Danio rerio: one gene and its partner. The protein of the gene in region 1 interacts with the protein of each later gene in a pairwise test. Links are inferred from orthologs where the notes say so. Each region holds a gene or a part of one and is shown on either strand. Other genes may lie near its edges. The genes, in order: p4ha3 and zc3h12aa.

Region 1 (3,825 bases):
TGGAGGCGTTGGTAAGGTGCAGTCATTATGACGTTTTCCATAGTTCTCCCAATTCGTGAATTTTCCCAAAATCAAATCCACTAATAGCATTGGAGTTCCCCACCCGAAGGGGAACGCTCAGGTTACTAAAGTAACCCTCGTTCCCCGAGGAGGGGAACGGAAATGCTATTTTCCATCGCCATAATGACTGTCCCTTAGCTGTTAGCTAAGTCTCTTCAGCTTAAAAAGGATGGCGTCTGCATGCTCCACATGGGCTTATATGCTGGGTTAATTGGCAATAAAGCACACTTGCGCAAGCTTACGCTGCCAATTCATTGGCATTCATTGGCCTGTTCCATACTCTTTCAGACAAGCTGCTTCTGAACCGAATCCTCCCAATTCGTGGATTTTCCTAAAATCAAATCCACTAATAGCATTTCCGTTCCCCTCCTCGGGGAACAAGGGTTACTTTAGTAACCTTTGTGATCTTCACCTCCGTTGTCCTTGACTCTTTACAATCAGCAAGAACCACAGTTTCAGTCTGTGATCTTTTTTTAATGCTCTAGTCTAGTGAACAAAAAAGTTACCTACATCTTGGATCATCTGAGAGTGAGTAATTTAACTGCAGATTTAGTTTTTTTTTATAAACTATTCTTTTAAGTTGATTTATAACTAATTAATCCTAATAAACTAAAATGAAATTATTTGCTCATTAAACAGTGCAAAGCAATAGAGAAGTGTAAACTGAAATTAATTTGTTATAAATTATTATTAGTAATGCAGAAAGTACAGAATATACACAAACAAAATTCAAAAACAAATACCAGATTGATATTAGTGGTTGAGCAAGTTGATTTAAGCAGCCAAAACAAACAGATTGAATTTCCTTTAAGTGTCATTAGAAATTACATACTTAAGATTTACAACAGCTCCTTATTTTATAAGACCTTCTCCATGGTCCAAAATTCAGGCCATATAATTTTAAGTACAGGAAATTCTCTCAGTTGATCTCATAAGGAATTTAACTAAGATCCACACAGGATCTGCCATAACTCTTCTTCTTTTCACTTCTTTTCTTTTTGCGGCTTTTGTGTTTTTGTACTTTTTCAATTTGTTTTCCTATTCATATGGAGGCCATATCAAAAATAGCAATTATTCTTGAAATAATGTCTGAATTCTTTTCAATTACTACAGCTATGGAAAAAAAAATACACCACTTGAAAATGGCAAACATTTATAAATTATAGTATATACATTGATGGCAATTCTACAAATTTTATATAAAGCTTTTGTCATTTCTATATAATATAAGCGCTATGTACAATCCCAGATATTGTGTATTAATTTTTAGAAACAAAATACCAATGCTTTAACATCAGAATATTAAAAAAACCTGAATGTTTATCAATGATTATCTATCACTACAATTAAAAAAAAAATTCTTGGGAAAAATGATTTATGATCTAATTGACTAAACTTTTATATTATATATTGGACATTTTGAGGAAATGATATTTAACCCTCCTACACTGAAAAAAAATAATTCATAATTGATTCCTTGGATTTCCTTTTTTTTTTAAGGTTAAGTGGTTGTAAGCAATTTATTTGGGCTAAATTTAAACAAAAAAGTTTTTAAATTAAACACATTTAAATTGTTTCCAACAATTTTGCAGGCATCTTTTTTACAGTGTAGACTCAAATGATTTTTGCTGCTTGTTCAACTTACTTAAAATCTGTTAAAACAACAAAGTTTTTTTAAGGAGGGGGAAAGCTTACTTGTTTTATATTCAGATCACTTAAATTTGTAAAAACGATTAAGTTAATTTGTGAATTTGTGATGGGACAACATGGAGATTTTGTGTGGAACCCTGATTTTTTTTTACAGAGTAATAAATCCATTAAATACAGAGAAACTACGAATTGTCGAGTTGTCTCATAATACCGGCAGCTAGCTGTCTGTAACTCTCATATGGTTGCCCACTGAAGGTAAACAGAGCGGTGCCAGTCATTACCTAGATGCGAGACCACATGAGAAAGCTAGTATGTTGCCGGAAGTGGAGTTAGTGAGTCCAGCAGGGGGGGTCTGTCGTCTGTGTGGGTCCTAATGCCCCAGTATAATGATGGGGACTCTGTACTGCTCAGTGAGTGCTGTCTTTAGGATGAGACTCTCGGATGAGACTCCGAGACTCTCTGTGGTACAATTTCCCTCTCTCTGTGTGTAGACACCCATACACACTTATTCACACACATACAAACTCAACACAGAAAGGCCAACTGACCCAGCCAAGGCTCGAACTAGCAACCTTCTTGCTGTGAGGCAAAAGAGCTACCCACTGTGCCACCGTGTTGCCTTATGATTGTTATTATTATTATTTTCTATAGCAGTATGTGCTATCATAAACGCTTAACAGTTTAATACATGCACAAATATTTTTGTTACTGGTTTGTTTTTGCGTTTCTTTTGCTGGTGATGGGATGTTTACTATATGGCACTATTGTTTTGTGGTCAATTGTTCCATTATGTGGGCAGGTTGAAGTGGATTACAGTTGTGCTGCGTTGCCAGTTATAAACGCATGATAAAAGGATTCCTCATTTGTTCTATCGAGAGAAGCTTGTGTTGTTGCCTTGATTTAGGGTGCCTGATCGGTCTCCTCCAGCACCAGCATTTTTCTTCGTTTAAAAGATTATTTATGTGACCTTGTTACTTTAATTACTTTAATAATTCTTCCTTTTCTGAATTATTCGATTGGTGGCGTGGATTCTTGATTATGTTGCAGACTGTCTAGAGCCGGGCAGTTTAACATTTTTAACATATGGTATTGAATAGAACAATTCATGATAAATGTGAAATAAATCATCTTGCCCTGAATCATAAGGTACAACAAATATAAAAGTGAAATGGTACCTGAGATCCTTTGGTTTGGCAGAGCTGTTCATAGGCATTCCTGGTTCTCAAATAAATGCCGTCGGGCCTTTTCAAAGTCAAACCACTGCTAGTAGCAGGTAGATTTTCATTTAGGAGTTTCTCGTACTTCTCCACATTGAAGTGTACCCTTCTGTTCATGGGATCTTGAAAACAACATTACTTTGTGATTTTTAATTTTTGAAAAATCTCCCAGATTATTTAATTTTACAAATGAAGTTTTGAAACAAGTAAAATAAATGGATTTGTTTTATTTTGTTTCTCACTATGTCACTTATTGCTAGTGTCTGTTAGAAGACTGCAGAAGATTACCATGAAGCAATAGTTCCCGGGAGAGACTGAGGGCGTGGGATATGTTTCCTGTCTAAAAAACAAAAACAAAACAAAACCTAGAAATGTTACTCAACAAGTCTAAAATGTTCACTGTATTTCAAAATACATCAGTAAAAAAATATTTTGCCCCATTTGCACCATGTGTTCAAATCTTGCGTGATCAGTCTTATGTGATCAGCCAAGATACCTTGCTGTTTAGATCTGCTTGGAAAAAGCATCTCCTGTGAGGACTTGTTATCCAAGTTTTGAGTTGGTTTTTGATTTCCTGTGAATACATACAGTACACCCACTCACTGACTTTTAAACGCTTAATCCATAAATGCATTACATAATTGGGTCTTTAGTCAACAGGTGTCCTGACATTTTATTTTACCTATCAGATTATGCTACCAACACTGTATTTGAAAGGTTCTGATATTGGGGTTAGGGACTTAGTAGGTAAGGGGTATATTACAGCTTCATATCACACTATTCCCCAATCACATCTACTCTGGTACCGAATTCTGATGGGTGGCATATTGTGTTATCAAAATGTGCTACCTACTTTTTGAATGGGAGGTAGGACAATCTCACAAGGTTAGACAAATCG
Region 2 (4,201 bases), on another chromosome or scaffold:
TAATAAATGATACATTGTTGCATCTTCTGCCGTCTTTCGGTTGTTTTCACACCACACTGCTGGCTTTGGTCCGAACCAGTTGAAACAAACCAAAATGCAGTCATCTGACAAAATCCACATCTCTCATTGGCCAGATGTTGTCGAACATATTTCCTAAACTGCTTATTGATTGGTCAGAATTCACGTGCGGGAAAATGCCAATGAACTCCCGCAGGTAAACAAAACCGGCAGACACAAAATGTCGCTTTTTACTACGAAGGGACGACTGCGCTGACTGATTGTATGCCTGCTGTAGACAAGCTATACATTTCGAGAATGAAGCGCGGCCGCGGCTGGAAAACAGTGTTTTAATGCATCGCTCGTCACTTCAGGAGGAGGCGTGAATAAATTTAGCTAAACTGCGACATGGTCATCTTGCGGAAATATTACCATCGATCCATCATGTTTTCCTCTCTCTCTCTCTCTCTCTCTGTTGGTAAAGCGCTGTCAACAAATAGTTTTCTTCCATACACTGAAAAAAGTGTTGCATGGAGAACTGTTGCAAACAATTTAATTGTGTTGAATTTAAACAATCAAATTAAATTGAATAATGTTCAACTTAAATTGTTTGTTTAAATTCAACACAATTAAATTGTTTACAACCACTTAACGTAAAAAAATTGAGTAAATCCAAGGAATCATCTTTGAATATTTTTTTTCAGTGTATCCCATAATGCAAAGCGCATCGGCTTACGGCAGCTGAATTAGTCCAAAAGGCGCAGTACTTTTTGCGGTTGGACCTGTTTTAGTACGGATCATATTCTCACCACAATCGAACCGCTCCAGGGTACGTTTGAAAGCGTACCGAGACCACCTCTTCAAGCAGGTCTCGGTACGCTTATTTGGTCCGCTTTTGGTGCGCACTCGAGTATGATTGCTGCATTCTCACCTGCCCAAACGAACCGCACCAAAAGAAAAAACGAACTCTAGTGCGATTCAATCGAACTAAATAAGGCAGGTGTGAAAGCACCCTTAAGCAACTATGAACCCTTTTAAAAATAAAACACAAGGCTGTTTCTTTAAGGGAATTTCCTCAGGCTCAAGCTGTTAGTCCCCTTATGGCAAATATTTTCATGCATTCCTCTAGAGAGTGCAGAGACTCACTCTTTTTTTAACATCTGCCATGCAGTCTTTTTCTGTGATCCACAAGTTTTAAACAATCAGAAGAACTCTCCGCTGGATTTGAGTTTGAGAACTTCTGCAGCCAGCTGCTGTGCATCTTTCAGCTGAGGGAACATGTCCATAACTTTATTTACATGACGTGGGTTAAAAATGGCATAAAGCTTCTTCCTGACCTCCTCCCTTTCTTCTTGGAAAGCGTTGGACTGTGTCATGGCTGAATGCTGCTGGCTTCCGTAGACACCAGCAGACTGGGAACTACGGCTTGTTAAAGGCTCTGCTAAACCGGTCGCCTGTGTTAAGTAGTATGGGTAAGACCAGCCACCACAAGCAGGAAGACTGTAACTCTGGACAGGGTTAGGCAGAGGTAGAGAGCTGTAAGCAGTGTAATTTGGCTGAAGGCTGGAGAAATGACTAATGTTGTTATAATAATGGCCACCAGCAGGTACAGCAGGATTACCAGGCATTGGGGGATGACCAGATCTAATCCTGTGCAACTCATCAAAACTCTGGGATTGCTCTGAAAACTGGCTTTCGTAGGACCCAAGCCCAGAGTCGGAACTGAAAATGGATGGGTTTTTTGAATATGGTGCATGCAAACTGGTTCTGTCTCCCAAAGCACTGTATTGTCCAACCGGTGCAGTATTTAAGGGCTTTTTCATGGACATAATATCATCCCAGTAGTGGAGCAAGACATCCCTGCTGTCAGAGCTCTCGGGCTCCAAGCTCAGCTTCTTTTCCAGTTCTTGCTCCAGGGAGGGAGAGCAGGATCCAGGATCGTTTCTTGGGTATACTCCTCTTAGGGAACCAGAAACTCTGCAGTCCTCTTTAGAACCAGACAGTCTGGCATTTTCCCGAAGCTCATCGGCTAGAGAACGCTGGGATTGATTAGTGCGCTCTGGGTGGTAGAACTTACACTTGATCCCATATGTGCACTTTTTTCCTGAGGAGAAAAAGACAAATGTTTGCATCAGAGTTCCAACAGAATTTATTTTCACACCTAATCACAGCTACCTAAGAAAGATGACCAAGGTTTCTAGAAATTTACAGATATGATTCCCATCCTTAAAGGGATAAATTACCTCATAATTCTGTCATCATTTACTTATCCTCAACTTGTTTCAAACCAGTTTGAGTTTCTTTACTTTGCTGAACACAATCGAAGGTATACTTTTACATAGTATTTTTTGTTTCTACTATGGATTTCAATGGCGGTTTTTACCAACATTGAATAGCGTTGTCAAAAGTATCAAGTTCGGTACCAACTGGTATTCATTTATTCATTTTCAACTGCTTTTTCGGGGCCAGGGAGCAAGGGCAGCAGTCTTAGGAGAGAACCCCAGACTTCCCTCTCCAAAGACATTTCCTCCAGCGGGATCCCGAGGCGTTCCCAGGCCAGCCAGGAGACATAGTCCCTCCAGCGTGTCCTAGGTCTTCCCCAAGGTTTCCTCCCAGTGGGACATGCCTGGAACACCTCCCTAGGTAGGCATCCGAAACAGATCCCCGAGCCACCTCAACCAACTTTTCTCAATGAGGAGGAGCAGCGGCTCTACTCCAAGCTCCTCCCGGGTGACAGAGCTCCTCACCCTATCTATAAGGGTGCGCCCTGCCTCCCTCCCCTTTCGGCTGCTTGTATCCAAGATCTTGTCCTTTCGGTCATGACCCAAAGCTCATGATCATAGGTGAGAATAGGAACGTAGATTGACCAGTAAATAGAGAGCTTTGCCTTTCGGCTCAATTTGTACTGAAATAAAAATAATAATAATAAATTCCTGCTAACATTTAAGCGCTGTTTAGCACTTAATTACTGCTGATTGTCCATTGTATTCACACACTCAACAGAAATGACTGTGATTGGCTGTGAAGGTCATCAGCTCACTACTCTTTACCAAGTGCAAACACAGATACACAGACAAAAGCCTTGTACTGTATATCAGTTGGTCCATCAGCAGATCCCGAGTACGTCAGCTCATTGACAGATCAGCTGATCTACGCGGCTTTTCTTTTTGCCAATTAGCAGTGTTTAAATAGACACACAAATGTTAGCGCGAAATTGACATTTTTAAAATTTTGTACCAAAACGTACCAAACCTGATACTTTTGACCACCTAGATTATCTTGTTTCGGGTTCAACCAAAGAAAATAAATACATGAACATTTCAAACCACTCAAGCTTAAAGTAAATAGTGATTTGTTTTCTATCCCTTTAATAACTATCCAACAGAAAGAGAGCAGAAACAGATTCTGTGGTGTAGTTGTCACAAAAAAAAAATACAAAATGACTTTGAATGCTAAAAACAGGGCGAGTAGCTAAATGACTGCAATTACAGTGACGGTGTGAAGATTCTGCAAGACATGGAGTATTTTTCTGAAGAATTGGCTTGACAGTTGTAGATCAGGTAACCTCACACATTACCAAAACGTGTTCACAAGCTACTGCAGGGAGTTATTTGAATAATTTCAGCTATGTTTTTGTATTGTTAGACATGTCGCATGTTTTTTATTGGCATAATGTCTGTCTACTTGTTGCTTTGGCACACTCTCAAAGAACAGTTGGGTAAGTGATTTCGCCATCATAAGAAGTTACTGGAAGGGCTTAAAAATAATAGACATGGACACTAATAAAACCACTATAGTTAGAATAGATGTAGTAATGTTTACAGCTGTATTAGGTCTTGGTGATTCAATCCATTCCACCTCCATTTAGGTTTTGGGGCAGCATTATTATACACGGCACAATGAGGCACAGAAGTGTTGTATAAGTGCCTTGAAAAATGAATTAAAAAAGAATTTAATAACTTAACGCTACTTAAAATCTATAAAAATCTCAATGCATAGGTAATAGAAATGACACCCATTATGTTTTTTAGATCGGAGTCAGACATGGCCTAGAGTCAAACATTAGCATTTTATAAAATTATGCTCATACATTATTAAAACAAACATTATTTAGTTAAGAAAGAATTACTCTGCATCCTATTTACTAAAATATGAAATGTTTCAAAGCAAAGACCCCATATTATATAATTTCCTTATCACTGAA

Evidence for each region.
Region 2: the proteins of p4ha3 (region 1) and zc3h12aa interact in binary tests that used the Homo sapiens proteins (3 or more experiments, as listed by UniProt). The two-hybrid records come from large-scale screens. The link is inferred for Danio rerio from reciprocal best matches to the Homo sapiens genes P4HA3 and ZC3H12A.

What each region holds. Positions count from the first base shown.
Region 1 is NC_133190.1:16,744,247-16,748,071, forward strand, and holds part of p4ha3 (prolyl 4-hydroxylase subunit alpha-3), read right to left. Parts: intron 3,502-3,825; coding exon 3,424-3,501; intron 3,268-3,423; coding exon 3,216-3,267; intron 3,050-3,215; coding exon 2,886-3,049; intron 1-2,885. UniProt on the Homo sapiens protein: Catalyzes the post-translational formation of 4-hydroxyproline in -Xaa-Pro-Gly- sequences in collagens and other proteins.
Region 2 is NC_133191.1:4,213,691-4,217,891, reverse strand, and holds the end of zc3h12aa (endoribonuclease ZC3H12A), read right to left. Parts: intron 2,102-4,201; coding exon 1,200-2,101; 3' UTR 777-1,199; downstream 1-776. UniProt on the Homo sapiens protein: Endoribonuclease involved in various biological functions such as cellular inflammatory response and immune homeostasis, glial differentiation of neuroprogenitor cells, cell death of cardiomyocytes, adipogenesis and angiogenesis.